Linked DNA regions of Astyanax mexicanus. The protein of the gene in region 2 purifies or fractionates together with the protein of the main gene of each other region. This does not show direct contact. Links are inferred from orthologs where the notes say so. Each region holds a gene or a part of one and is shown on either strand. Other genes may lie near its edges. The genes, in order: hirip3, csnk2b, ccnl1a and rnf111.

Region 1 (7,054 bases), on a different chromosome or scaffold from region 2:
ATTAGCAGTGATTTTCTTTTTGTCCATTTCTTCATCACTCTCATCATCACTTTTAATCTCACTGTCACCATTTTCATTCTTTTCAGGCTGTTTCTTCTTCGTGTTCTTCTCCTCCTCATCATCATCTTCCTCACTCTCAGAGCTACTTCCAAACACTTCCTTCTGCACTCTTCTCACAGCCTCACTCTCCGGTGACTTGAGCTCTTCATTATTCGGCTCTTTTCTTTCACTTTTTGGAGGGGTTACTTTGCTTTTATCTTGCTCTGTCTCATCCTTTTTCTGTCCTTTCTTTTTTATCCGTTTCATCTTTGTTTCCTCGCTGTCTGAGCTCACCGTCTTCTTTTCTCTTTGACCTTTAGACTTTGCTTGCTGTGGTTTTTCTTCCTCTGATAACTCAGAAGATGAGGATGGGTCTTGCTCGTCTTCCTCACTCTCTGGTACCTTCTTTTTCTTTCTTGCTTTAGTTCCCTTATCCTTCTTTTGTTTTCTTGGACTTGCTTTTCCCTTCTTCTTTACCTTCACTTCTGGCTGTTTTTTCTCTATTTTCTTCTTACTCTTCACATTTTCCTTTTGCTCTTCTTCCCCACTCTCTACATTCATGTCCTCGTCACTTTCATCATCTTTTTCTTCTTCTTGTTTTTGTTCTTCCTCTTCGTCATCATCTTCATCTTCTTTTAACTGGTCCTCATTAGCAGCCTTCTCTATTCCAGAATCCGGGGATTCTGATAGACAACAGACAAGCAGTAATGTATGTTTTGCATATATAAAACATTTGTTATGACACTTTGACTAATGAAAACAAGTATAGCATGCTACATGTCCAAAAGTTTATAGACACCTGCATTCAATACATTGTTTCAAATTAAGTGAATAAATGGTGGTGCATTTTTTTACTGCAATAGCAGGCTCTAATCTTCTGAAAAATTAAATCCCACGCTATTTACTTCTACAGTCATTCTTCTATGCCATTCTGTGGTCTGTATTAAACCTATATTAGAAGCTCTTAGTCTAAACTGGATAAGAAAATTAAACAACATTTTTTTATTTTATTTTATTTCTGCTGTTGTGTGCTGCAGTAAACAGGTTCCATGCCTTTTCAATAAAGCCCCCCATTGTTTCATCTCAACTGAGCATACAGGATCTCTTTGTAATCCCATTAAAGACCTATGTTTCTCTACATGCTTTTTTTAATCCTCCACCCTGTTCTTCAAATGGTCAGGACTCCACAGGACAATCACAGAGCAGCTATTATTTGGGTGCTGGGTCAATCTCAGCAATGCAGTGACGCTCAGTACTTGACATGGTGATAGTGTGTGTTGTGCTGGTAGAAGAAGATCAAAAACAGCAGAGCTACTGATGTTTTTAAACATCTTAGCATCACTGCTGAACTGAGAATAATCCAACAACCTGAAATACCCACAGCCAACAGCATCCTGTGAGCACTGATGAAGGACCAGAGAATGAGCAAAACAAACTGTACAGCAACAGACGAGCCTCTGTCTCAGACTTTACATCTACAAGATAGAGCAGTTGGTAAAATACGGTGAGTGGTGACAAAAGCTCCAGCAGCACTGCTATGTCCGATTCACTCATACTACCACAACGCACACTAACACCAAGTTAGTGTCACTGCAGTGCTGAGAATAACCCACCACCCAAATAATAGCTGTTCCATGGTGTGGTCCTCTGGGGTCATGACCATTGAAGAAAAAGGTCGAAAAAGAATAATAAAGTATGCAGACAAACTACAGAACTACAGTGCGTACTTGTAAACCAAAAGTGCTCCTCTGTATGCTCTTGCTTGCATATGGGCAGCAAGTATTGACACAAAGCGGTGGTAAATCACTGTATATATTTGACCTCTAAATGTCAGCAACTAATAAGAATGGTTGTCTGGATGAATTTGGACATACAGACTATATTTGCAATTTTTAAATTTATGAAAGCAAACAAACTGCCTTATACCTGGAAGTACTGACTCAAAACGAGACTTCTTTTTCTGGGCCCTGACATCACAGTTTTCTTCTGCCTCTGCTTCCTCGTCATCATCCTCTCTCTTTCGTTTGTTCTGTGAAGGGTCTGACTTTCTTATTAAAGGTTCATCGTCACTGTCCTGAAAAAAAGAAAAACAAAAAAAGACAGACATTTAAACATTAACTAGTGCATCATACAGAATATAAACAGATTACAAGTTATCGTAATAACACACACACAAACAAAATAAATAAATAAATAATAATAAAAAAGAAGCTTCAAGACTCCTGAGACTCCAAGGCCTTTAACTAGGGCAGAATGGAAGCACTTTCACCCCCTCTTGTGGCATTATTTATATATTGTCAACATCCTAAAATAATTTAATGGTCGTCTAAATATTTTTGGGCAAAATGTACGTTTTTGCCTAAATTATTTCCTCATGATGCTGCATGGCCAGCTGTGGTAAAACCTGTTTTCTCTCTTTTTAAGCAATTTTTAAGCATACAGAGCCTTTGAAAATACTAAATACACCACTCACCTCGACCTGCATCCTCAACAGCTCCTCCTCTACCACTTTTTTCAGCAGGGTTTTGTGCTCCACACTCAGGCACTCTCTGCCCACATGCTCCAGATAGCGCTTCCGTAGTATTCCTAGTGTTAACGTGCTGCACAGACAGTTTACAGCGTTAATAAACACAGAGATACACAGTGAGACTCTCGCGCCTTTTCATTTTTAAACATCAGCAACACAGCTAGCCTAGCTTAGCTTAGCTCATTATTACATGTATGTGTTAGTCAGCCCGCGTCTCTAGACCCACCCAAACCGCCTTAAAACTCTTCTAAACCTCCTCCACTCCGCTAAAGCTCACCCAGTGTCGCTTACCTGAGGTCCGGACAGCGCTGCAGCTGTTTGGAGACGAACCGGCGGATCACTGTCTCTTCAGAAACCATGTTTTAAACTCTGCAGCTCCTCCTCCAACATACACAAACACACACTGCGCCACGGCCGGGTTTGGCGCGCGCGGACACGCACTGTTGCGTCATCACGCACGAAGCCGTTACCAGAGAGAGAGAATTAATACATTTTGGTATAAAACTGATATAAAAAAATAATAAAATACTAAAATAAATAACAGAAATAACTACACAAAATAAATCATTCCGTTTACATAAGAAATATACTGTAATGTGTTTAAAGAGATACTGAGTTATATTTAACTGATAAAAATAATGTTTTAATTTAATTTAAATTTAAAAATATAAATAATAATATAAAGAGAAAAATAAATAATATAAAAAAATTAAAAACGCTCTGAACGGTTTAGTTACCATAAGAAAATATACTATACTAATATAAAATAACTTAAGTTTAAAAAAATAACGCTCAGAACCATAGACTGTTTGTTACAGAATAGGAAGATTTTTTTTTACAATTAATACTGTAAAATATAATTTACATAAGAAAAGGCTGAAGTTAATTTGAATTTATGTACATCTACTTAGTCTGTGTGACATCATCCACAGGAAACTTTCCACAGGAATTTTTTTCTGCATGTTTAGTTTTATATTCTAGATTTAACATCAGAAATTAAATCAAATTGAGCGTTATTTAATTATTAAAACATATTGGCAAAAAATAAAAAAATAAACTACATAAATAAATACATAAATTCCATTACTTTTGGCAATAAGTTTTAGAAAAATAAAATGTGAAGCACATATAGTTTAAAATACACCAATATTATATAATTATTTCATTAACATTAGGATAAACAGTTGATAATAAAAAAGTTTTAACTGCCTATGCAATAGTAACCAGCATTAAGCTTAGTTAATTCAAAGTACTATAGCTAGCTTTGGTTTGTAGTCTAATTGTATGTAGTGAGTGAACAAAAGGGCCAGGTATGGAAAGGCAAAGGGCCGGATGTGGCCCCTGGGCCATAAAATGCCCAGGTGCAAATTACAACACTTGGTAATTGTCCAGTTATGGCCAAACATTTTCATGATTGGTGCAGTTATACCCTCTGAGCCCGCTTTCAGTCTGTAGGGGGAGCTCACAACAAGATTCCACAAAGAAGCGAAATAATAGTAATAGTCTAATTAATAAAATATTCTTTAGATGATTCAATATGATAATGAACAATTACTTACTATTTCCTAAGGATAGTAAACTTTCCTAACATATTAGTTTGCTTGCAGTACGTTATATATATCTCCACTGATTTATTTGCAAATCAATAGTAGAACTACAAATTTAAATAAAGTCCAAAAACAGCGATGTGTAAAAAAAAAGATTTTTTATTAGTGAACCTGTGGATAAAACAACAATTAATATTTATGGACGGCATAATAATACCAGAAAGATGTTAAGGTGCCAAACACTTAGAAAGTGGTGTAAAATCTCTGACAATACTGTTGTTAAGATTTATGTCTGATTTTTAGGTTCAGGTGAGTGGAGTGAGTGTTTTTAAGTGTGAGCAGTGGCTATGTTCTTAGTCAGTTAAAACATTTGCTCAATTGGACATGGGTCTAGTACAATTCTTTTTTACAGCACTGTGGCATGTTCAGCAGGTGAGCAGTTGGCTTTTACCTTTATATAATCATTGACAGTCAATGAGATACTCTTAAATAAACTGTTGTTTATCTACAATGACTCCAAAGCAGGTTCTTGCTTCTTTTGGCTTAAACAAAAACCGCGTCCTCATTATTATCACATACACAACAGAGCAAAGCTTTTAGTCACTCACTTGTTGTGACAGAAGACAATGTAAGCCTTTGTTTTGGATACATATGAAACATTTGTGCATTTGTCCTTGGTGTTTTCTTGGTTTAATGGGTCCCTGCTTGAACAGCACATTAGAACCTATGCTATAGTCACATCAGTGTAACACAGTTAGCTTCCAACAGCTTTGGTACTTAAATGAATAATTGATGTAATAAGTTGCTAAATATGTTACTAAATATGTAATTAGGTGTTTTTATTATTCACATAGATTATGGGCAAGCTTGGGGAGTGGCTCATAGGCTTGTTGTTTTTTGTAGTTGTTTGGTTGGTTGGTTTAAAGCATGCAAGAAAAGGAAATAAACATCTACAATGTAAGTTTCTACGTTTCTAAGTGAAATCAACCAGCTGTTAGAATGTGTGTATTGCAAAGCTGGCTGACTGGACCACTATTAAGACAGCACAGTGGTAGAATTCACCACTTTAAGAACATGTCCATAAAGAGATATCACTCAATGGCTATGTTCAGACTGCAGGTAAATTGTATTTTTTCTCAAATCAGATCTGTTGAGATCACTGTCCACGCTGTTATTTGCAGGTGATCAGAATGGATTTGTATGTCTGGACATCACAAACATATCTGCATGGGATGGTGTGGTATTGAGGTCAACGTCAATAGGTAATATTTAGGGATTTTTTTTTGACCCCCACACTTTTCTCCCTCTGGATTTTATGAGGTCATTGTTTGTCATATGGTGCGTGATGCAAATAATATCTTGAAATCCGATTTGAGCATTCAGAGAGTACAGACTGAAATGCATCTGTACAAATCCAATAGTTATTTCATTTTAAACCACCTCTTAATGTGTATATTTAGCAGAAAAATGTTTCTGGCTGTCCAGACCTATTAAAAATCCATCTAGATACAATCTCTCACATTTGAGCTTATAGTCTGAACATAGCCATAGACAAGTGAAGCCCCAGCACGTCTTTGAGACGTTAGATGTTCACCTACAGCTAACCTAAGACTTAATACTGCAATATTAATTGCAATATGGCCGGATAAGTATGACTGTCAACAGTCTGTCATCTTACAATGATCTGATGATCTCTCACATTTTAAAAATTTAGTAAAAAAAAAAAACAAAAAAAACAAAACAATTTACAAAAGAGTAGGTTGAGGATGGCACACAGTCCAGTAAGAACACACATCATACATCAGTCAAGTATGGGTCACTTCTAAGTACCACTTTCTGCATACAACAACAACGCATTTCACTATTAGGTGCACAATACACCCCATACTCTTCCTTCCACACACACATAAAGCAATAACTTATTTCACATGTACCTTTACAAAGTGAAAAATGTGAAAAATCTGGACAATAAATTAATGAAATAATAAATAAAAAACAAAAACAACTAAAAAAACTGAATGACATGTACCTTCATCCTCAAAAATAATTATAACAATAATAATAATAAGACAAATAAAGCGAAACCACACTGTGGCTCATTTGGGATCATTTTGAAGCAAGTCCATATAAACCCCCACCCCACCTTCAGTGCAGTGTTAGCGTACCAAATTTTACTCCCTCCTCCATTCATGCCATGCTTTTCTCTCCATTCATCCATCTTTTTTGTTTCAACCTCAAAATGACCGTGGACGTAATTTCCAGTTATAGTACCTGTATCCTATTCCTTCATTCTACATCTCCACATCTCCTCATTCTACTTATCTTCTCTCTCAGTCCTTGTACACAGTCTGCTGTCCGTGTCCCCTCTCATCGTGCATAATGTGTCTCCGCACATGGATCCGCCTCACCCTTCTGTCTCCACCCCCTACGCCAGCCCCGTCCTCCTCAGACTGGCCCACACCTGGAGACGAGACGCCGCCGGACTCCAGCAGAGCCATTCCTCCGTGACCAGAGGCTCGTCCATTCTCATAAATTAAGATGTTCAGGGTTTCCTCAAAGATGCGAGCTTCTGGAAACTCAACCTGGGAGAGGAGTAAAAGGTGTGTCAGGTTGGGTAATGTTTAGTAAAAAATATCTGTATGCCAACTAGGGGTGGGTGATATGGCCCTAAAATAATATCACGATATTTCATGGTATTATCGCGATAACGATACTCTTGGTGATATGACAAGAAATAAAAAAATACACTACTGCAACAAAACAAAACTTAAATTTTATTATTGTATACGATATCATATTGCACAGTTAGAGGTGTGCAATATGATATTGCACACCTCTAACTAAGATATTAAAAAAAACAAGAATTCTAGCATATTTGTAACAGAAGTCAATGATTCAGAATGTCATGATACTACTTATAATAATGCACTCCAAATATCTC
Region 2 (7,997 bases):
ACAAAATACAGCAGCCTTTTTGTTGCTTGGGTGACTTAATATGACAGAAGTGATCAAACTGCAGAAATTTATTCTTTAAACAGGAGACCCGGATAACAATTTGTAACCGGCAAACACTGGGTTTATTGTGGCCAACCTAATTAACAAACACCTTTTTCAGTGAGTAGAGTAACAGTATTAAGATCAATTTAGATTCCCTGCATTACCTTCCGCTTCATATAACACTGTTTCTCAATCTTGATTATCCAGTTCCCCCAGCTACTGATCAACTACTCAACTAAAAAGACCTTTCGCAGCAGCAGGGTGTTATAAAGTAGAGAAGTTTTCTGTGCAAGGCAGCAGGCTGTGGTTATTTTATGGAAAACAAAGAAAGAAAAATGTCACACTGTGATATACTATACTGTTTTTGGAATTTGAAAAGGCCTTTGTGGGGATATGAATTTTTGGTCATATTGCACATCCTTATTTTGGACGTGGAGTATCTTTGCTCTGGGCAAAACAATGTAACAATCCATGCTATTACATTGGCTCTCCTGCATTGATAATGATGGGTACCTGTTGAACATAGTAGTTTGATTTAACATTAGCTCATTTTAAGAACATGCTGAACTGCCATACTAACCAGGTTCCAGATCCAAAATCATGTCCAGAGCTTGTCTGTAATGTGGAACCTGCTCATTGAGTCCAGTGAGGTTAAACTTATCCTGGATATAGTCCTCATCCACCTGGGTAACACAGTAAGCATGAGTTTGAACATGTTAAGAACATTTACAAGATAAACATTTATTATTAAGTACAATTGGTGAACACATTAATATAGCAAGCCATTTTAGCCTAACATCACACCAATGAAATAAGACCTAATTTAGATCTTAACTCAGTCAAGATCTATGTAATGTAACAGCAAAATTATTTTGGATATCAGCCATGTAACATGGTTTTGATGTATTACAAGGAGCACATATCATTAATGTAAATTTTGACTAGTCAAGACTCCTCCTTTCTTATCTATAGTAACACTGTTACTTGGTAAAACAAGTTACCGACATCTAGTTTTACTTACTAGTAGAGATTGTAATTCTAGATTTGTAAAGTGCAATTCTAAGTATCAAAACCTCCAGATATATACACCATCACTAATCAAAACCAGAATTTATTCACAAAATAAAATAACAATATGGAAATGGTCTGGTAGCATAGATAGCCAGAAGTAATAATTCCAAAGCTGATCACTGCAATGAAAGATTCCAAGAGTAAAAACTGCATTACAAAGCTTAATATGTAAAAACTAAGCAAGTACCGCTGGTGACATCAGTCACAAACCCTTTAAAAGATGTGTGAAGTTCCTTATAGCACTTTTTCGGTCATTCTAACTCAAAGTCACCAAGTAACACATACTAAACATCCTGAGAGCATCACAGGACAGTTTGTGTAAATCTGTCCTCGTTCATCTTACCTCATTTACAAAACGTAGAAGTGCTGGGCTAGCTCTGGAGATCCTTTACAAAGTCTGTTTTTTGCTTATATAGATCTGTTTCTGCCATTTAACCGTTCAAATGTTGTGATTAAATGTTTTACATACCATATAACTAGTTTCGACCTGAACAAACTGTTAAAATATAAAGGTTTGAAATCATTTGCCCTCAATAATAGTTCAAGTTGAAGCTTGGCATCAATATTCAGAAAAAGGTCTGGGCTTTCGGTTAGGCTGAAAGGGTTTGCCATATTTTACCACTATTGATGTGTAAAGGTTTCACATGAAAAGCACGAACCTCACAGAAGAACTCGTTTCCTCGTAGACCACAAAACCAAGAAATCCACGAAACTTCCTCCGAACTGCTCATTTTGGGGAAACTAGACAAAAGAAGGTAAAACAAAACAGAAGGTAAGAAGAGCTCAGAGCCGGTGTTTTGTCGAGTTGTGTTACCCGTCGATTTGTGCTTCTTAGCAGTTCTGCGCATGCGCTTAACTCTCATTTTTACTGTTATCATGTGTTTTTCGTAATTAATTTTTCGATTGCACTGTACAATATGGACTTACTGCCATCGTTTGCTTGAGTGTTACAACAGTGTAAAAATAATGATAAAATATATAATAATAATAAAAAAAATCACCTATATTGCCTTAACTTTATACTGATTCAAATATCATACCGAGACCTCCACTGCGAGCACGTTCTAATGTTTTGTATTTTACCTTTAAATATACACTAGGGTAGCATAGTGTGACAAGCTTGCTAAAATCGACAGAACACCGGTAGACTAGTGTTAGCTTGGCTCTGAGAGGAGAACACTGAGGTATAACCTAGGCTAGGACAGGATAGGATAGCATACACAAGATACCCTCACAATTTACAAGATACTGATTTTAATGCTAGAATAGGATTAACTAACTAGCTAAGTACACAAACAATTTAGCTCTCGGGTTATTGACCCCAGCTTAGCTAATTAAATATATAGATATTTAAAACAGCTAGCTAATCCAACATAGGCTAACATGAGCTAAACTAAGCTAGCCGAGCTAAAAAGCCCAAATCCAGCCCGAGGCTGCTAGGCCGCTAGCCTCCCGTATTTACTGTGGGTTTAAATCTACCAGACGAGCCTCTGGCCACCGCGGCGTCAAATACACTGACCGAGTGCCGAGTACCGACACATACTGACCCGTTAAAACACGGAGAAATAAAGTCTTTCTACAAGAATCCTAAAAACCCGTTTTAGCCCCTCAGCTAAAGGACTCCAACATGGCGCAGCTCAAATCAGCCAGGCCGCATAAACCCGGAGCCGCGGATTCCTCGCTGTACCGACAAACACCTTAACATTTACACCCACAGCTAGCGAACACAAACAGCCCGCGCCCAACCCGCTCAGTAACACATTAAAAACAGTATATCTGCCAAAATTACCGAATATAAAACTCGTATTTGTGTATTACCTCCCGGATTCAGGCTAAAAGCTGCTGCAGAAGCGGAGCGCTGATTGGCGTGTTTCGTCTTTAGCAACGTCATGACGAACCAGGCGCTTGTGCTTATGGGAAGTGTAGTTTTTTCCCCAATAAATTCACCTCCATATGAAGACTTTCATTTAAAAACGCATTAAATGCTATTTTAATAGTTTTTATTTTACATTACATTTATTAACAATATTAACCCAGACTCATTTCTAAATATTGATATCAATTTCATAATGTAATCAGATAAATTCAGCGAGCAGCTTATTCAGGTTTGTCTTTTATTGTGGGAACATGACTAAATATTTTAGGCAGTGGTTCTCAAACTGTGGTACAGGTACTACTGATGGTACTCGAAACATCACAAGGTGGTACACTAATTAGATGACATTAGATGAAAAAAAAAATCTACGTGCATTAACCCTTGCATTATTTCCAAGTAATTATAAGAATGTTGTTTTTTAATCCACACAAAACAAGAACCAGTATTCGAATATAAAATCTAATTCAGTACAATTCTAAATGTTATCATATTTAATACATTATATAATTTTATATAATATAATATTTAAATTTATAATGTCCATTAAATTTTGAAGCCTTTTAACAGTGTTACTTTCATTATTGATATTGACCTTTTTACTTCACAACACAATGATAAAACCATAAAATGAATTTGATAAAGTGTTCTAAATAAGACGCAATAAACTAAAATAAGCCTTTAGATTTCATTCTTTGCTTGCCTTGCCAAAAACAACAACAACAATAACCAAATAACTTACCTTACTAACTTACTGATTGCAAACATGGGCAAGCACCACACAACAGGTAAAGAACAATTGGCAAAGATATTTGCATATATATATATATATATACAGTTGTGGTCAAAAGTTTACATACACTTGTAAAAAAACATAATGTTATGGCTGTCTTGAGTTTTCAATAAGTTCTACAACTCTTATTTTTCTGTGATAGAGTGATCGGAACACATACATGTTTGTCACAAAAAACAGTCATAAAATTTGGTTCTTTCATAAATTTATTATGGGTCTGCTGAAAATGTCACCAAATCTGCTGGGTCAAAAATATACATACAGCAACATTAGTATTTGGTTACATGTCCCTTGGCCATTTTCACGGCAACTAGGCGCTTTTGGTAGCCATCCACAAGCTCCTGGCAAGCTTCAGGTCGAATGTTTGACCACTCTTCTTGACAGAATTGGTGCAGTTCAGCTAAATGTGATGGTTTTCTTGCATGAACCCGTTTCTTTAGCACTGTCCACATGTTCTCAATGGGGTTTAAGTCAGGACTTTGGGAAGGCCATTCTAAAACCTTAATTCTAGCCTGGTTTAGCCATTCCTTTACCACTTTTGATGTGTGTTTTGGGTCATTGTCTTGTTGGAACACCCAACTGCGCCCAAGACCCAACCTTCGGGCTGATGGTTTTAAGTTTTTCTGCAGAATTTGGAGGTAATCCTCCTTCTTCATTATCCCATTTACTTTCTGCAAAGAACCAGTTCCACTGGCAGCAAAACATCCCCAGAGCATAATACTACCACCACCATGCTTGACAGTAGGCATGGTGTTCCTGGGATTAAAGGCCTCACCTTTTCTCCTCCAAACATATTGCTGGGTGTTGTGGCCAAACAGCTCAATTTTTGTTTCGTCTGACCAGAGAACTTTCCTCCAGAAGGTTTTATCTTTGTCCATGTGATCAGCAGCAAACTTCAGCCGAGTCTTAAGGTGCCTTTTCTGGAGCAAGGGCTTCTTTCTTGCACGGCAGCCTCTCAGTCCATGGCGATGTAAAACACGCTTGACTGTGGAGACTGACACCTGTGTTCCATCAGCTTCCAAATCCTTGCAGACCTGCTTCTTGGTGATTCTTGGTTGACTCTTGACCATCCTGACCAATCTCCTCTCGGCAGCATGTGATAGCTTGCGTTTTCTTCCTGATCGTGGCAGTGACACAACTGTTCCATGCACTTTATACTTGCGTATAATTGTCTGCACAGTTGCTCTTGGGACCTGTAGCTGCTTTGAAATGGCTCCAAGTGACTTCCCTGACTTGTTCAAGTCAATAATTCGCTTTTTCAGATCCACACTGAGTTCCTTTGACTTTCCCATTGTAGCTTTTGTAGCTGAGTCTAATCACTGGGTCAAATGAGCCCTATTTAAATGGGCTCATGAGAAGTCAACAGCTGTAGTCAATCAGAATCACTTACAAGAAGTGAAGAGGCCATGACATGAAGCTAATTTGATTGACACAACTCGCTACATCACCAAAATTGACAAATTTTGTTGCTGTATGTATATTTTTGACCCAGCAGATTTGGTGACATTTTCAGCAGACCCATAATAAATTTATGAAAGAACCAAATTTTATGACTGTTTTTTGTGACAAACATGTATGTGTTCCGATCACTCTATCACAGAAAAATAAGAGTTGTAGAACTTATTGAAAACTCAAGACAGCCATAACATTATGTTTTTTTACAAGTGTATGTAAACTTTTGACCACAACTGTATATATATATATATATATATATATATATATATATATATATATGTTTGGATTACATGTGTAGCTTACTGTGTGTGTGGTACATGTTTTTCTGTGGAATGGCTTCTAGGTGGTAGAATGATTCAGAAATCATTATTTGGTGTAATAGCCCTTGTTTTTAATCGCAGTTTCATGCATCTTGACATGTTCTCCTCCACCAGTCTTAAACACTGCTTTTGGATAACTTTATGAAGTTTGAGAATCACTGTTTTCAAGTAAAAATCATGATGTAATATAAATGAGACAACAGCTAACTCACACATTTTATTAACATTTTGTTCTAAAAATCTGAACTAGTTACATGGAACATAAAAAATTCAAGCCTTTAAACGGTTAAATCATAGGAACAGAGCTATAAAGCTAAAATACACTTTTTAATAGAGCTAGCTTATCTCCAGCACAAACCTAGACCTACATATTGTAAATAAGAACAGATGAACAAACACACATTTACACACTGTCCTGTGATGCATTCAGGATGTTCAGTAGATGTCAGTTAGGAACTCAAAGTGAAGAACAGAGTGGCGTTAGGCAATTTACACAGATTTTAAAGGGTATTTGACTGACGTCACCTTGGGTTCTGCTTTATCATAATTAAGTTTTTTTTTTGTAATAAAGATTGTTTAACATTTATATAGTATAAATGTACTATACAGACACATCCTGTCTTCCAGAAAACATTTTTCATGATCATGTCTTAAACTTCAGCATTAAGAAATCTGGGTCAAGAAGCCCTGTAAAAAGGCCAAAGGGAGATGGGGACTCTCAGCTGTTTGTTGGAGGTTTTTTTTACAGTATCTTTAACATAGTTGACAGTAGCAGAGTATGGGAAGCTTATTGATTACTTGGAAGCCTCTTTAAGCCTGTATGATAAAGACCTTTGCTTTGGTGCCTTTTCATTACACTACTTTTAAAGTGCTAATATGATTTGTATTGGACTTAGCCACTGTCTAAACTGTTAGCATTTTTGATGTTATTTTACACTCATAGCTGAAATCTCATTTGTCTTATACAGTCTCTGACTTTTGACAGTCCCCTAATAGACCACATATTGCTTTCTGGCTTCTGCTTAAGTATCTTTTATGTGTTTGTGTCCTAATTGCAGTTATAGGTGCAACCCAAAGGAGAATAGACTCTCCTAAGCAGGTATTACTCATGTTGCGATGCAGTTTTTTTTATTTGAGTCTTGGTTGTGTAAACTTTGACATTTTCAGCTATGCTCAGTGGTTCTTTCTCACGCTACTGTGGAGATTTTCTCTTTCAGTTTAGATTTCCCTCAGAATTTCATGTTATGGTGTTTCTTTTTTGTGTGTCTTTGTTATTCCTCGCAAGTTTCTCTTTTTGAGTCTTGGTTGGGTTTTATCTCATCTCATCTCATTGTCAACCGCTTTATCCGTGAAGGGTCGCAGGGGGGGGGGGGGCTGGAGCCTATCCCAGCAGGCATCGGGCAGAAGGCAGGGTACACCCTGGACAGGCCGCCAATACATCGCAGGGCAGACAGACACAGACAGACAGACAGACACATTTACTCACACTCACACCTAAGGGGCAATTTCAATCAAGTTACAATTAGCCTGAACGTGCCGTCTTTGGACTGTGGGAGGAAACCGGAGAACCCGGAGGAAGGTTGGGTTTTAGTTGTAATCTATTATATACATACTACTGTGGCCAGTGCTAACACATTCCTCTAACTGAACTGCTGTAAAACAAACAGGAAAATTACTAGCCAAAGTAGTTTTTGTGACATCACAGAAAAATGACAAATTGTTTGGATCAAATGGACTAAGAAATACATAGTATATGTGGAAAATGAATGTCTGCATGCTATTTCAAGGTATTTTATGATTTTTTTTTTAAATCTAGACCAGCAATATTAAAAAGTAATTTGGTTAATTGTTTACAAACATACACATTTTTGTTAACATTTGGGCTAAGAGCTGTAACATGCCAATAATTTAAAAATGACTACAGAAAGATTTGTAGTTTCCCTTAAATGTTGTCAGTTGTTTACTGGTGAGGCCCATTTTGTATACATTCAAAAAATAAGAGAGACCACTCACACAGGTCCATTAAAACAAAAGATTTTATTTAACTTTTCTCTCTGTATACTTTATTATAATAAGACACTTCTCTGCTTGTACATTGCTCCCTTGAACTTAAAAATGGCAACATTTGTTTGTGGGAATGTAAGTTGGGGTAGACAAACTTAGATACATACCAATATACATACATGTGTGTATATCAAGGCTCCAATAATAAACCATAAATGCTATAACAGCTGTAACCACTTCAGGTACCTTGGTAAAGTTGAAAGTATAGTACAATCTTTTGAGTATTCCAGGAATACACTTTAATGCTTATTTATTTATTTATTTATTAAACATGGGTACATACAATATGACCACATCAATAGATAGCTAAGAGTTAAGAAGGGATGAGGGGGTCGCACTGAGAGCCTATGGGAGTATATGGCTGCCGATGGCTAGGCTC
Region 3 (7,395 bases), on a different chromosome or scaffold from region 2:
CTGCTACTTCTCTTGGCTCTATAAAAATTTAAATACAATGCACTATAGTAAGACCAAACAAAAACTAAAAAATATATATACACATATCTGCACAAAGCTTGATATCTATTTGAGAGCTTTCAAAATTCACTGTTAACATGACTAACTTCATGAACTCACAACAACATACAAGTAGACAACATACTCATTGTGCCAAAGATATTTGAGCATTACACTGTGTGGACAACTAACTATACAACTAATGTGAGTCCAAAGAGTGTGGGAACACAAATGATCACAAGCGAGGATGCAGGATGAAGTGTTTGGTATAAACAGCCCTGCTAACTTCCCTGTCTTAAATCGTACAACTAAAACTGGCTAATCTGAGGTGTGTGGTTTTTGTGAAAGCTGTGATATGAGGTGGGTTTGTCTATTTTTTGGCTTGTAAAATGATTTTATATAAATCACTCATCACCCGTGTTAGCAAAGACAGAAAAAAACTTAAACTGAGACACAGGAGTCACCCAGGCGCTTCGGGACCAGCGGCCAACCTGTCGTCCCCGATTTCCCAGTGACCGCTTTCAGACCACTGGCGTCTCCCAGGGGAGCGGGGGGAAGCGACACCTCGCTCACTGTTGCCATGTCGACTGCTTCATCTCTACGTACCATTCCACATCACCCAGGCTTTGGTAAATGTAGCTGGTCGCTGTTAGTTGGTTGCAAGGGAAAAAAGAATTCAAGTTAATACCTCAGTTCTTACTCAGTTGAACAAACCTATCACCCAACCCTACCCACTTATAATTTAAATTTATCCCTTTTTTTTTTAAACATTACTACGATATATAAAAATAGTTTTCAATACTGCTTGATTAATGTACTGAGTGTTCAGGATGCATTTATCTTGCTCAGGTAAGCAGATTACTACCTTGCTGTTACTATCAACTTATGACTGATGATGAAACTGAAAAGTCTTAAAATGGTTTAGAGTACATAAATCAAACAAAAAGGCACTGAAATCAAGACATTCTATAAAAAAAAAACAAAGGCACAGAGACTAGTCACAGTAAACATGTTTAAAATATACCTGATTCACTTATGTTAAGTGATGACGTTAAATGTTACACAATGAAACATATCTGTCAAGGTGGGAGGTTGTTGGTACAGGTAACAAACAGAAGAAACAGTCGAGAATGTGACAAAACAAAAGCACTAGACTGCTCACCTTTTGCCTCTGATCTGTCTCAAGTGATGAAAAACGTTGATGACATCTCTTATTCGACGTGGGGCTTCTTCAATCTTTGAGGCCAGATTAATACAGGCCATGGCAACAATCTGAGGAGGGAACAGAAACAGTGAGGTAATATAGGATGTAGCTAAAACCAAGAGAGGCAGTGAGGCCACAAAATGAGAGTGGGCAGAAGAACAAACTCTGAACTGTACAAATCTGCATAAATTGTGTTTTAAGTTTCTGTTAGTGCCCCAATTACGTGAGATTGAAACGCTGTTCATTTTATCTATAGTTTATCAGATAATAAAAATAATATTATCGTATCAACATATGTGACGTAATATTTGCCATATCAACCAGCTCTAACAGTGTGTGATTACTTACAGCAGAATATCCCTCTGACCGAATTTAAGACCTGTCATCATGATAAAATTTTGGCCATATCGTCCGTTCATAACTTAGTAAAGATATATAGAATCGTTACTATAACATTTCTATAAATAACTATAGCTGAATAATAGGGTCGTTTTTTTATTCAAATAAAAAAGTCATTGCAAATGAGAGCGCAGCACATGAATAATCAAAAATATACTTTTTAAAATATGTCTAGTCAGAATGCCTTTATAGGTTAATAGATCTGTCATTACTAGTTAGTGCACATCACTAAATGGAACATCCTACTAGTGATAACCAATAAGATGTCTAATGGACTAAGCTATTCTTTGGTATGCTTTTTTAAACTAAGCAATTTCTACGTCTCAGAATGAGTGAAGTATAAGTTAATTTAAGAAAAACTCAGGTTCAGGTGACTTTTTGTGCTTATTATCAAGTTCAATTACTTAAAAAAATTTAAATGTTAAGGCTGATCGAGATAATCATTGCTAAAAAAAAGCTAAGTAATCCAACAGTGACACAATGCTTATTAATATAATAAGAGGAAAATAAGGTTTATAACCTTATGATAATTTAACTTGTGTGTCATTTGTCTAGACTTTAGAACGTTATGCCACATACGAGTGAGTATTAGTAAGTGTGAATAAGTGTGTGCGCATGCGCGCTGGCTTTCCCCGCGCTGTCTAATATGGCTGCCGGTGGTGTTGCGTTGGTTTTACGCAGCCGGGCCTGAATAACTATCTAAACCCTCAGCCCCACAGCCGGCCGGCTGAGCTCCTTACCTCGAAACTGTGCTTCACAAACGACTTGGAGTAGAAAAACCGGTGGAATAGGACTTGCCCCGTCGCCATGGCAACCTGTAAAATGAATAAACCACATTTAGACAGAAATTCAAGCTTTAATCCGCACATTAAGACCGAACCCGGAGAGACCGCCATTTTGTTTTTGTCTAAAGGAGAGGCGCGCTAATGCTAAAGCTAGCGGCGGCGGCGGGTCTAGCCGGTTACTCCCGGTTCAGCCCTCGCTCGGCGGGTTTATTCCCCCCGTTATTTACCTGCGGCAGTCGCAGCAGGATCCCCGCGGCCTGGATGAGCTCGCAGCCCAGAATGCGGAGGTCGGTCTCGGTGTGGAGGTCCAGGCCGTCCAGCATGGAGGGGGTCGGGGTGAGCTTCTCCTCCGGGATCAGGGAATTATCGATGGTCAGAAACACCTCCGAGTAAACCCGGTCCCCGATCAGGATCCCCGCGTCGCCGCCGGGCAGCGGGTTAGGGGTGGCGGTGGTCGCCGGAGTCGCAGCCATCGTGGCCTCCATCAGCGCGAGTTCAGCAGATCCAGAGACAGAAGAACAGACCGAGCGGACCCACCGACCGGCACTGACGTAGATCAGATCAGCAGCCGCGCAGCGCAGCAGCACGAGAAGGAGGAGGGGAGAGTGTACACATCCGCGCGATATAGGGCCGGCTCATATTTACACACTAGTCCCTCACTTAAAATTTGCTTTATTTCAGTAATCAGGTCAAAATGTGAAACTCATATGTTATATACGCGATTTAGGAAAACCCAGAAGTCAGAATCTCAGAAAATTTCCATATTATATACAGGGTTCATACAGCTTTTAACCCATAATTTCCCATTACTTTTTCATGACTTTTCCATGCCTTTAAGGCAACTGTTCATGACCATGGGATTTTTAAAAACATCAGTGCAGAAATGAACGATAAAAACAAAAATCAATTAAAACTATAGTAAAAATTGATTATAGTAGGTATAGTAGTATATATGAGTCAGATAATATGTTGAAACCCAATATTTAATAATAAAATGTGTGTCAGATCCTGAAAGCTCCAATGTGTAGGGCTAAATTACTGAACCAACTCTGATCTAATGTATTTGTTCGCTCAAAAGAGATTTTCTTTATCGATAAAATGAAACAAAAGATTTGTAGACACAACTTCCATGACTTTTCCAAAATTTTCTGGTTATTGTTATTTTTCCAAAACTTATCCAGGCCTGTAAATTGCTATTTTCAAATTTCATGACTTTTCCAGGTTTTTAATTACCGTAGGAACCCCGTATATAAGAGTGGGGCCTGTATATAAGAGGCAGTGTGGCCAGTGTATCAAGTCCTGCTGGAAAATTAAATCTGCATCTTCATAAAAGTTCTAAGCAGAGAAAAGAAAATGCTGAAAAAACACTACACTGACTTTGGACACAGCAGACCAACACCCGCAAATAACATGTCTCTCCAAACCATCATTGACCATCAGTAAATTTTGCATTTCATTTGGAAATAAAGGGAGCAGAATCTGGAGGAAGAGTGGAGAGACACAAGTTTCCACAATCAGAGGAATGGTTTGGTTCATAATATAAAAAATGTGATTTTTTTAATATAAATTCACAACAGGCACAACAATTTACCATAAAACACCAAGGCAAAGACTACATAGCTTTAAATTAATTAGTTTTATAGAAATTCTATCCCTAAAAAAATGTTAAGCTGAGCGATGTTGCCATGTGGGTCAGCCAGACCTCTTCCTGTACTCCAGTACTCACCGCTCTTTGGATTTATCTGTAACTTCTCTAAAGAAAAGACCTTTAATAGTTACAGAGGTCTCTGTGTTTCTGTATCGTTTTTAGTTATTATGATGAAAGTGTGAATGTGCTGTGTGTAAGTGTATAAATGCTACAGTAGAGAGTGCAGTAACACAATTTGTTTAAAGCTCAGTTTATTTCCATTGCTTGTCAATCAAAAAAAGTCTATCTTTTTAAAACAATATATATTTTGTTTACAATATACATTTTCTAACAACAGTATATTTGTAAGGACATGCATTTGTAAGATGAGCAGCAGAGCTGAGTATGTGGACTGCACCCCTAAAAATTTGCCAAACAGCTTATTCTGCAGTTGCTATTGACTCTTGTCTTGAGCTTCTGGTACCACCAGGGCATCACCGATCAGGTGCCTGTTTACAGTGGTAAGTAGGTGTCTGCTCCATTCATCAGCATAATGCCATGTTTGGCTAATATGGATAGGGCCTGTATGATTGGGCAACTTCAACCTGGTGTTCCCCAAAACCAAGTTGTATCATTATTTGGAGTGAGAATAATAATAGCAGTATCTCCAAACTGATGGCCAAGTTCCATATAATTGGGGATATCAGAGACAGGCCGTGAAGTGGGCGTCCCAACAAAATGACACCCAACAGATCATCCAACAGCGAACGAGTCAATGACAGAATAAACTGTTTGAAAATGGCATAGACGATTTCGCTAATTTTTCATGGGTGCAGCCCACATACTCAGCTCTGCTTCTTATCCTACAAATGCATGTTCCTTACAAATTTAAAAGAGAAATTAACAGGCTTTGGATTTATTGCCAAGAACATTGTTACAGTTGTTTAATCATTTCTTAATTTTTGATGAAGCCAAAATATCATACATGAAACATGAAAAACAGGCTTTTCTAATTAAATCATGTGTATTAAGATATAAACGAGTGAAAGGGATAAACTCTGTGTTTTTATTGTGTTTATTTGTATTATTGGACCCGTTTCTGATATTTCGCGATTTTGAATTAGCCTGAGTCACGAAACTAGTTCCCGTGACGTCGAAGGCGGGAAGCGGGTGCGGAAGGCAGAGTGTATCCCTCCGCGGCTCTGCTTTCGAAACGTGACCGTGACGTCAGTCCGCGGAGGGCGACGGTTTCCGGGAACAGAGGAGAAGAACAGGCCCCGGGTTATATATGGACCTGACGACAACAAGACACTGAGTTTAATACGGTTTAAAGGGCGACGCGCAGCTTAATTCGTAGAAACCGGTGTATTTCCGTCTGTGTGAGCCTTAAACCGAGGTGCGGTTGTGCTTCTTCAGACAGTGTGAGTGAGATATTTAACAGTACAGAGGTCTCTCCCCCCAGAGCTAAAACACTGAAACACAGAACAGTGATTTAACTCTATTGAGAGGACATGTACTCTACTATTATAGAGTATTTCTGTCCCTAGGAAAATACATGTGCACACAAAATAACTTTTAAAATACATTTTATTATTAGGCATAGCGTCTTATACACTAAATAAAGAACACTTGGAACACTGAAACATACTTAGAACATTTGCTACCTGTCCCCACTCTTTAACTATAAACTTTACCAGGAAATATAAGTATTAAAATCCTTCAGAAATGTATTTTTTTTGCGTTGTTGTGCGACTCCAAATCCCATATATGCTTTTTGCATAATAAATTCATAATATTTAAGTTCAAATACACATTTTATTTGTGCTCCTAATAGTAATAATAATAATAATAATTTTTTTTCTAGAAAAAAATAAATAACTTTTTTCCACTTTTACCTATTTGTTTAATAAATCACATGATAATACATTTTATCAATTTCAGGTTTGGGTCTTCTTTAAAAGATAAAAATGGCTTTGCATATTCCAGAAAAATACAATGTGCCTGCATGTATAGGGATTTCTTGTCATAAATATCCATTATTTGAACATGCAGTTAGCCATTTCTTTAAAATAAAAAGTTCTTGAGAGAAAATCAAAGAAATTAGTTGACTAACTTTTAAACATGCTTTTTAATTGTTACATGAGTTTTGGTAACAGAAAAAAGTTAACCATCTTCGGCTTAGAAACTTTGTAAAAAATCACGCAAAGCTGCCTGAGATTGATCAGTATCTAAATATATAGTTAAATATATGTTTTCTTAGATTCTGTGTTAAAAAAGATAAAAAATTAAGTTTAATTTGGAAGAGTTACAACAAAATCAATACAGTTGGAAACAAACAAACAAAAAAGCTATAAAAAGTTAATAAATTCAGCCTAGAAATTAATAAATAAATAAACCAATTACAGTATGTATTTGTACAATTACAATATAATTCCTTCCATTTCTGCATTTATGTATTATTCAATGTATATATGTTTGTATTATGTAATATTTGTAATAAAAGTTCAGGAATAAATAAATGAAACAAAGAATGAAAGAATAAACTGAAGAAAAGTTACAAATATACGTACAGTAAAATACAAATACTTTAATATAGGCATAAGAAAATTGTAACTAATACATAAACAAATACATTGAAGAGTATATAAATGCAGGAATGTAAGGAATAAACTGTACAAATATACAAGTGCTGTAATTATTTTAATTATTTATTTCTGTTCAATTTATTAATTTGTTTATGATTTTATGGCCCTTATTAATTTATTTACTTGTCTTTTTTTATACTCCTCTTTTCTTCTTTGTTTGCTTCCACTTGTAATAATTCAATTTCTAAATATTTTTTTGATTTGGCAGGTATGATCCTCCATATGTAACCAACTCATCGCGGCAGCTAGCCAGGTGAATGTATGGCCCCCATATCAGACACCACAGCAAAATTGGTTAACTCTGAAGAACTGCACTTACTATATAGTGAATAGGGCACAGTTTCAGACACAGCTAACATTACAAATAAACCCTTATAAAGAAAGCAATGACAGAAGCCAATACCACATCATATAATCAGTTCATAATATTGTGCACAAATTCAACACAATCATAGTGAAATATATAGTTAAATTATGATATTTTCTCTCCCATTTTGTTGACAAAAATAAAAATAAACATTTAAAAATATTTACCAAAATATCTAAATATGTGGTTTTGTCCAGTTTTTCACTACATCAATACACATCTGAATCTCATTTGACCATCCAACACATTTAAATATATATTAAATATACATAAATATATTAATCTTTAATGAAACTCTTGGCTCTTAGTCCTTAAGCAAAAACCAGTAC
Region 4 (7,603 bases), on a different chromosome or scaffold from region 2:
TTCTTAAACTATGGTAAAACTGTGTCTCAGGCGTCAGGCAGTGTATTTATAATCGTTTAGTGTAATAATTAAAATCAATAGTACCTCACAAAAGTGAGTATCCGCCCCCACATTTTTGTAAATACCTTTTCATAGGACAACAGTGAACATATGAGACTTTGATACAGTGTAAAGTAGTCAGTGTACAGCTTACTAATTCAATACAGAACCATTAATGTGTGAACCACTGGCAACTGAAATGTCAACATTTTGTGTGACCACCATTATTTCTGAGCACTAATTTAATTCTCTTGGTTCTGAAATTTACTAGAGCTTCACAGGTTGCCACTGGAATGCTCCTTCACTCTTCTATGAGGACATCACAGAGCTGGTGGATGTTACAGTCATATGAAAAAGTTTGGGCACCCCTATTTATCCAAATCATTTTTAGTTGTAAATATTTGGGTGTTTCAGCCATTTCAGTTTGATATATCTAATAACTGATGGGCACAGTAATATTTCAGGATTGAAATGAGGTTTATTGTACTAACAGAAAATGTGCAATATGCACAAAATTGGTTTGGTAACCTCATTGAGCTTTGAACTTCATAGCCAGGTGTATCCAATCATGAGAAAAGGTATTTAAGGTGGCCAATTGCAAGTTGTTCTCCTATTTGAATCTTCTCTGAAGAGTGGCATCATGGGCTCATCAAAACAACTCTCAAACGATCTAAAAACAAAGATTGTTCAACATAGTTGTTCAGGGGAAGGATACAAAAAGGATGCTGCAGATGGTGTCACTGTGCATCGCTCAACAATACAGCGCACTTTGCACAAGGAGAAGCTGTATGGGAGAGTGATGCAAAAGAACCTGAGGTGTGCTTTTGCATAATGAGAAATGGCTTCTTTTGCATCACTCTCCCATACATCCCATCCCTGGCTATGAAGTTCAAAGCTCAATGAGGTTACCAAACCAATTTTGTGCTTCAGTAAGTCAGTAAAAAGTAGTTAGGAGTATTCAAATCAATAAAATTATAAGGGTGCCCATACTTTTGCACCGGTCAAATTTTGGTTTAATGCATATTGCACATTTTCTGTTAGTACAATAAACCTCATTTCAATCCTGAAATATTACTGTGTCCATCAGTTATTAGATATATCAAACTGAAATGGCTGTTGCAAACACCCAAATATTTACAACTGAAAATGGTTAAGATTAATAGGGGTGCCCAAACATTTTCATATGACCGCAAGTTTATGTTGTTCTGATCAGACCACAGGACATGGATTCAGTATTCCAATGCCCTTAGTCTGCTGTCCTCAGCCAACTGTTTGCTGTGTGTGGCGTATGGTCTGACACCTGAGACCTTTTAACATTAACATTAAGTCATAGGACACCAGGGAGGGAAATGGCTAACTGAGCACAATTTGGCTTGTGCCCAAGTTTTGTTGCCAGTGGTTTAGACATTAAGAGCTGTGTGTTCATTTGTTTTGAGGGCTGAGCAAATTTACACTGTTACCAATTTTGCAAACATTTTGGAAATTTTGGTTAGTTGAACGCATTCTGAATGCTACAGTTAACGTTCTTAAAATGTTCAATCTCTCAAAGTTTCTCGATGTTCTAACATCGCTGCAGTGTCACTTGTCAATTTTTTTGTTTTGTTTTGGAATTGTTACTTTTAACATTTCGATAAAGTAAAGTAGTATTCAGCTAGCTGGGACGGTTATGTGAGAAACATTCTAATAATGTTGTGATGCAAACCATTATTTTGTCACATGTTTTCAGAATATTTCTGGAGATTAGCACTTGGCTCTATGACCAAAAATGTATATCACGGTTTTATCATGGTTTTACAGCATATCACACAATTTTCATTATCACTATTTATTTATATTTTTTGCATGACTGAGCTTTATTTAAACAGTAAAACACTTGAGGTGCATGCTATAACGGGTGATATTTGCACTGCTGTTCTGAGGTAATAAGTCGCAATCTTAGGCAGAGTGTCATGGAGCAGCACAGCACTGCTAACATTACACATTATAGCATTAACCTCAAGCGTATTCTTGCAATTATACCACAGTTCCATTATCACAATCTTGTCTTACTTCACATCACAGGGTCGAAACGAACTGTGGTATAATATAGGTTTTGCGACTTACTCTACTGTTATGAATAAATATAATATAAAACATTAAGGCTTTGATTACTTTGTCCCAAACAATTACACAATATGAAGAATAATAAAGAAATCAGACCTTACTAGCAGAAAAACAGCTAAAGAATGTAAACAATAGACCTTGAAAAAAGGTAAACCAACAACTTTTACACAGCTTTCATTACAAAATTAAATATTTTAAATGGTCCCTAAACCCTATAATGGACCTAAAATACTCAAAATGTATTATATTTTCAAAAAGCACAAGTTAGACAAAAGTTAAATATCAAATTAAAATATGTTGTTATTAAAGCCATTAGAGGCATTTAAGTATATAAATGGATGTTTATTAGTCACAATTGCCTTTTTTCTCCAGTCAACAAATACATTCAGTTCAGTGTGCATTAAAAGTATCCTTTTATCTACTGTATAAATATACTGTATTTAAACAGGGCTATGGTTACTGCTTTTGTAGTATTTTTCCATCTCGTATCCGAACATCACTTGTACTCAATAAATGATTCTGTACCCAGGATCAATTCTGGGCTTGTCTGGGGGGTGAGAGGAACTTTTTCCAAGCTAAAGATCATAATTTCAGCATAATTCCAGTCCTCTTTTTTCTCTGAGTGAATAATTGCAAAAGCTTTAGTCGTTTGCTGTGGTTCTTCTGTTTTACTTGAATAAAATCACTCATACAGTGAAGATCAACGGCAGGAGATCCTCAGATAAAGTACTGTTCTCATATCACATAATGTTTCTCCAGGTAGAACACAGCAAGATGAGAGAGATTGACAGAGCTTCACAGACTGAGTGAAGTTGAGAGAGTGATGTAGAGAGAGGTAGTGAGAGAGAGTGACAGAGAGAGTGAGGTAGTGAGAGAGAAAGTGAGATAGAGGGATTAAGTGACTGAAAGAGGGGTAGAGAGAGAGAGAGGTTAAGAGTGAAGTAGTAAGAGAGAAAGAGTGAGGTACTGAGAGAGAGTGACAGAAAGAGTGAGGTAGTGACAGAGAGTGAGGTAGTGACAGGCAGAGTGAGGTGAGAGTGAGGTAGTGACAGATAGAGTGAGGTAGAGAGCGAGTGAGGTTGTGAGAGAGAGTGAGGTAGCAAATGAGAGCGAGGTAGAGAGTGATGTAGTGTAAGAAGGGTGAGAATGAGGTAGGGAGTCAAGAGAGAGTGAGGTAGTGTGAGAAGAGGGAGAATGAGGTAGAGACAGAGAGAGTGAAATCAGCACATCACGGAAATCAGCTTAATCAACAGTCTAATCTAATTTATTTATATGATTTACTTTTATATGTAAGATGTGTTAATGTGTATGTGTATGTGTATGTGTGTATATATATATATATATATATATATATATATATATATATATATATATATGTGTGTGTGTGTGTGTGTGTGTGTGTGTGTGTGTGTGTGTGTGTGTGTGTGTGTGTATTAGGGGTGTGATGAGATTAAAACGTGACGATATTTCTAGTCAAGCTTAAACCTGTCTCACAGTTACAGTACAGTTAAAATGGTCCGTGGTACAGGTAAAAAGCTCCGCAGTACAGTTTAAAAACTCAGCGTGACAGTGCTCTTACAGTCCCAAAGATTCACAGCCCTAGTAAATACTGTACAAGTGACTGTTTCCCTTAGCTCTGTACTGTATGTTCTGTCTCTGTTTGCACTTCAAGCATAGTCTTAATATGACTGTTTATGGGTATGCATAGTTAAATAACGAGAAATTTAGGAGAAAAAAAACACAAACATTAGGCTTAATATGACTGGTTATGGTTATGAATAGTTAAATAACAAGAAATTTAGAAGAAAAAAACACAAACCTTAGGCTTAATATGACTGGTTGTGGTTTTGCACTTATTGTTTGCACTGTATAAGACCTAGAAAAGTTTTATTTTTATATATCTTATTCTTATTTCTATTTCTTATAGAATCAATGTGTAAGAGCAACCAGTCTGTTAAGTTTGAGCTATATGATTTTGTCAAATAAAACTCTAGTTTTCAAGGCATTTTTCATTTCTGATGTTTTCTTTAGAATTTTATTTTAAAATCTCGTCTCGTCTCGTTCTCGTGAACCCAGTATCGTGTATTGTCTCGTGATATTAGTGTCTCTCGTCACACCCCTAGTATTTATGTGTATATGTATATATATGTTTGTATATGTATTGTTATATATATATATATATATATATATATATATATATATATATATATATATATATATATATATATATATATTACCTTTTGTATATTAACTTCTTGTTTCATTGCTGTTAATTTTGTTTTGCAAAAGTTGTTAATTGCAATTCATGCCAATAAAGTTATTTTAAATTGAAAAAAAAAAAAGAAGCCAACTTAATTACATTGAAATTGAGTGAGGTAGTGAGTTAGAGAGACAGAGTAAGGTAGTGAAAAAGAGAGGTAGTGAGAGAGACAGAGAGTGAGGTAGTGAGAGAGAGAGAGTGTGACAGAGTGAGGTAGTGAGAGAGAGTGAGGTAGAGAATGTGGGCGAGATAGAGAGTGACAGAGAGACTGAGGTAGTAAGAGAAGGGGGAGAATGAGGTAGTGTGAGAGAGAGAGAGGTAGAGATACAGAGAGAGTGAGGTAGGGAGATAGAGAGACAGAGGTAGTGTGTGTGAGAGAGTGACAGAGAAAGTGAGATAGTGTGTGTGAGAGAGAGAGAGAGACAGAGAGACTGAGGTAGTGTGTGTGAGAGAGAGAGTGACAGAGAAAGTGAGGTAGTGAGAGAGAGAGAGATGGCGCCTCTCGCGGAGCTGAAGTCGGATCTTGCCAGCGGGGAGGAATTAGCGCCGCATTTCTCTCACAGATAAAACTGCGCTCTCCTCTCCGTCTAATCTCAGTTTATATCAATAGTGTTATCAGATTTTAACAGTAAAGCGCCATTATTTTCCTTATTGATGGTAAACAGCCGCCGAATCGTCGAGCTTGTCTGGTTAGCTAACGGTAGCTAAGCTAACTAGCTCGCTCGCTAGCTTTAGCTTTAGCTTCAGGCCCCGTTTGGGCTTTTCTGTGACTTGTCAGTTTCTCTGCGCCTCCGCTTAACTCGCTCTCTCCGGGTTTTACGCGTTTGTTCTTCAGATTTCAATCGTGTTGGGCTCATTTCTCGACGGATTGCCTGGCCTGTATGCCCTGGGAGGAAGTCAGCGGGTCGGCCAGCGTCGTTGAAGCCGTGAAGAGGTAACAGTGCTTCGGCCAGTCCGGCTGGAAATACGCTGCTATTGTTTAGGCTTAGGGACTGAACTTCACAGCTAGCGCTAGCTGGGTTAACACTCTCACTTTCTCCCTGGTTTTACCAATTTTTATTGATATTACGAGTTCAAGTCATATCACATATTACAATCAAATACTGCTGGATGTAATGTAGCTGTGTGTAGCTCGATATCCAGTTTAATAAAGCTAGTTTAATTAGCTATAGCTAGACTGGTTATGTTTGGGAAATTCCTTGCGAGCGAGTTAACGTTAGCCTGGATTCGCCGCCGCCACTGCTGCTCTTGTTTTTGTTGTTGTTTATGTTGTTTTTTCTAAGTAATACCCCATCATTATTACATATTACACATTTATAAACCTTTTATTATGTGTATAAGTCACGCTCGTGCTGTGTGTCTGTATGTAGGGTGGAATTATATGTCTAGAAGCCTGAACATCCTGCGTATGTTTTTCCTCCTCTGGCTCTCATAACCTAGGTTAGCTAGCTGACGACGTTTAGCGTTCAGCTCTAGATTACTATAGCTAGGTTATGTTATGTAGCGTTAGGCCTCGAAAAACTGAGCTTCTTCTTTTATCTTGCGTTATGTCTGTTTTCTCTTCCTTTCTGTCTGTCTGTCAACATCTTTTGGCCTGTCTTTCTGTCTGTCAGTACCTATTAGCGGTGTAAATAAATATCGGTATTGTATCGTATGGCGACATCTTGTTTTTGCAATACTATATCGATTTATAAAAGCATCATAACTGTTATCTATCTATCTCTATCTATCTATCTATCTATCTATTAGGGTGTAAGAAAATGTTGATGTATCGTATCGCAATATTTTGTCTTGCAATACTAAATCGGTTTAGAAAAACAGTATTATTTTAATTTAGATCACGTGTGAAGATTAAAGTCAGACCGTGCTTCATTTACTATGCTGTCTGAACGTTTTTCTTTTATACAGATTTTGTAAATATGACTATGTTTTCATATAATATGGTAGTTACCAGCGATGTGTTTAATCATAACCCATGTATTGTGATACTATCTGTCTATTGATAGAATTGTTAATGTTTTTAACACTGATGCTAAAAATCAAATATTATAAAGGTTAAATAATCTAAATTTAAACATTAGTATTGCTATTTGTGGCCTGATCGTGTTAATATATTATGGACTGGTGTGTGTGTGTGTGTGTGTGTGTGTGTGTATATAAATATAAATATAAATATGTACATATGTATGTATTTCTTGCATGGACCTTGGTGTGTGACCAGGCACACAGCGCACAGCATTGTAAATCTGTACCTACAAATTTCTGAACATAAGTCAGAGAAAGGAGCTGTAAATATTAAGCAGTTTTACAAATAACATTAGTTATTGATTTATTTGTATTGCGATATGTATTGATTTTAAATTACCTTAAAGCCCTGTGTCTGGTAAGTGCCTGCAGAATCGCTCCTTCATGTATAAGAGTTTGACAGTTTTTAACATCTGAGAAATCTTACAAATGCAGTTATTTTCCCGCTCACACTGTAATCACTGTTTTTGTTTTTATTCTCAGTACAATGCTTTGCATTTCTAAGAGAGGCTCGGAACATAGATTTTTACTGTACAGTAAAATCACAAGATTTTATATCAGGTTATCTCGCACTATTTCTATTGTTCAGTTTGTCAAAACACGCTCACACTATACAATCAGTTTTGCACATAAATGGAGGAGGTAGAATGGAGGTTGTATTAATCAGTCTGATTGGCGTGTGTCAGAATGCTTCCACGCTCATGTGTAGTGCTAATAGCAGGGTAACATAGCATCTATAGGATCTAGTCTCTGATCCTTGGGGAAGGAATTAAAACAGTCTCTCACAATCCTCTACGTTCTGAAATCTGTATCCACCTTAGTGTCAAGGGCCGTTGCTGCTGTGAGTCCCCTTGGGTGGGGGGCAATGTGCACTTTGCTCTGTGGCTCTGTGTCTCTGTGGCACATCGCAGGCTTGCAGGATGAACTCCCAGAGGAGCCTGGGATAGCACTCCACTATCTTAGTACAGGCATCTATTATTATTGTAAAGTGTTATGCTCACATGCTGCTGTGTTTGTGGATGATCCTTACTGAAATTGCTTAAACCATTAGTCTGAGATCAAAGTTATCTATTTATTTTCCAATGTATAGACATAACCTTAATCCTCTTTGCCCATTCTGTGTTTCTTAGCAAAAGCTCCAGGGTTAATGTGTTAACCAGGATAAGCTGGTATGTC

What was found.
Region 1: the proteins of csnk2b (region 2) and hirip3 purify together in Homo sapiens (affinity purification with mass spectrometry; 4 studies listed by BioGRID and IntAct, with this or other methods). This does not show direct contact. The link is inferred for Astyanax mexicanus from reciprocal best matches to the Homo sapiens genes CSNK2B and HIRIP3.
Region 3: the proteins of csnk2b (region 2) and ccnl1a purify together in Homo sapiens (co-immunoprecipitation; 3 studies listed by BioGRID and IntAct, with this or other methods). This does not show direct contact. The link is inferred for Astyanax mexicanus from reciprocal best matches to the Homo sapiens genes CSNK2B and CCNL1.
Region 4: the proteins of csnk2b (region 2) and rnf111 purify together in Homo sapiens (co-immunoprecipitation; 3 studies listed by BioGRID and IntAct, with this or other methods). This does not show direct contact. The link is inferred for Astyanax mexicanus from reciprocal best matches to the Homo sapiens genes CSNK2B and RNF111.

What each region holds. Positions count from the first base shown.
Region 1 is NC_064426.1:34,701,146-34,708,199, reverse strand, and holds the start of hirip3 (HIRA-interacting protein 3), read right to left. Parts: upstream 3,010-7,054; 5' UTR 2,926-3,009; coding exon 2,858-2,925; intron 2,640-2,857; coding exon 2,513-2,639; intron 2,114-2,512; coding exon 1,966-2,113; intron 723-1,965; coding exon 1-722. Other genes in the region: kctd13 (BTB/POZ domain-containing adapter for CUL3-mediated RhoA degradation protein 1), read right to left, coding at 6,444-6,695. UniProt on the Homo sapiens protein: Histone chaperone that carries a H2A-H2B histone complex and facilitates its deposition onto chromatin.
Region 2 is NC_064410.1:37,124,631-37,132,627, reverse strand, and holds the start of csnk2b (casein kinase II subunit beta), read right to left. Parts: upstream 3,017-7,997; 5' UTR 2,932-3,016; exon of another isoform or gene 2,903-2,931; intron 1,855-2,902; 5' UTR 1,845-1,854; coding exon 1,773-1,844; intron 726-1,772; coding exon 623-725; intron 1-622. UniProt on the Homo sapiens protein: Regulatory subunit of casein kinase II/CK2.
Region 3 is NC_064416.1:35,501,254-35,508,648, reverse strand, and holds the start of ccnl1a (cyclin-L1a), read right to left. Parts: upstream 3,015-7,395; 5' UTR 2,913-3,014; coding exon 2,655-2,912; intron 2,458-2,654; coding exon 2,383-2,457; intron 1,312-2,382; coding exon 1,202-1,311; intron 1-1,201. UniProt on the Homo sapiens protein: Involved in pre-mRNA splicing. Functions in association with cyclin-dependent kinases (CDKs). Inhibited by the CDK-specific inhibitor CDKN1A/p21. May play a role in the regulation of RNA polymerase II (pol II).
Region 4 is NC_064430.1:30,984,412-30,992,014, forward strand, and holds the start of rnf111 (E3 ubiquitin-protein ligase Arkadia), read left to right. Parts: upstream 1-4,599; 5' UTR 4,600-5,336; intron 5,337-7,603. UniProt on the Homo sapiens protein: E3 ubiquitin-protein ligase. Required for mesoderm patterning during embryonic development. Acts as an enhancer of the transcriptional responses of the SMAD2/SMAD3 effectors, which are activated downstream of BMP.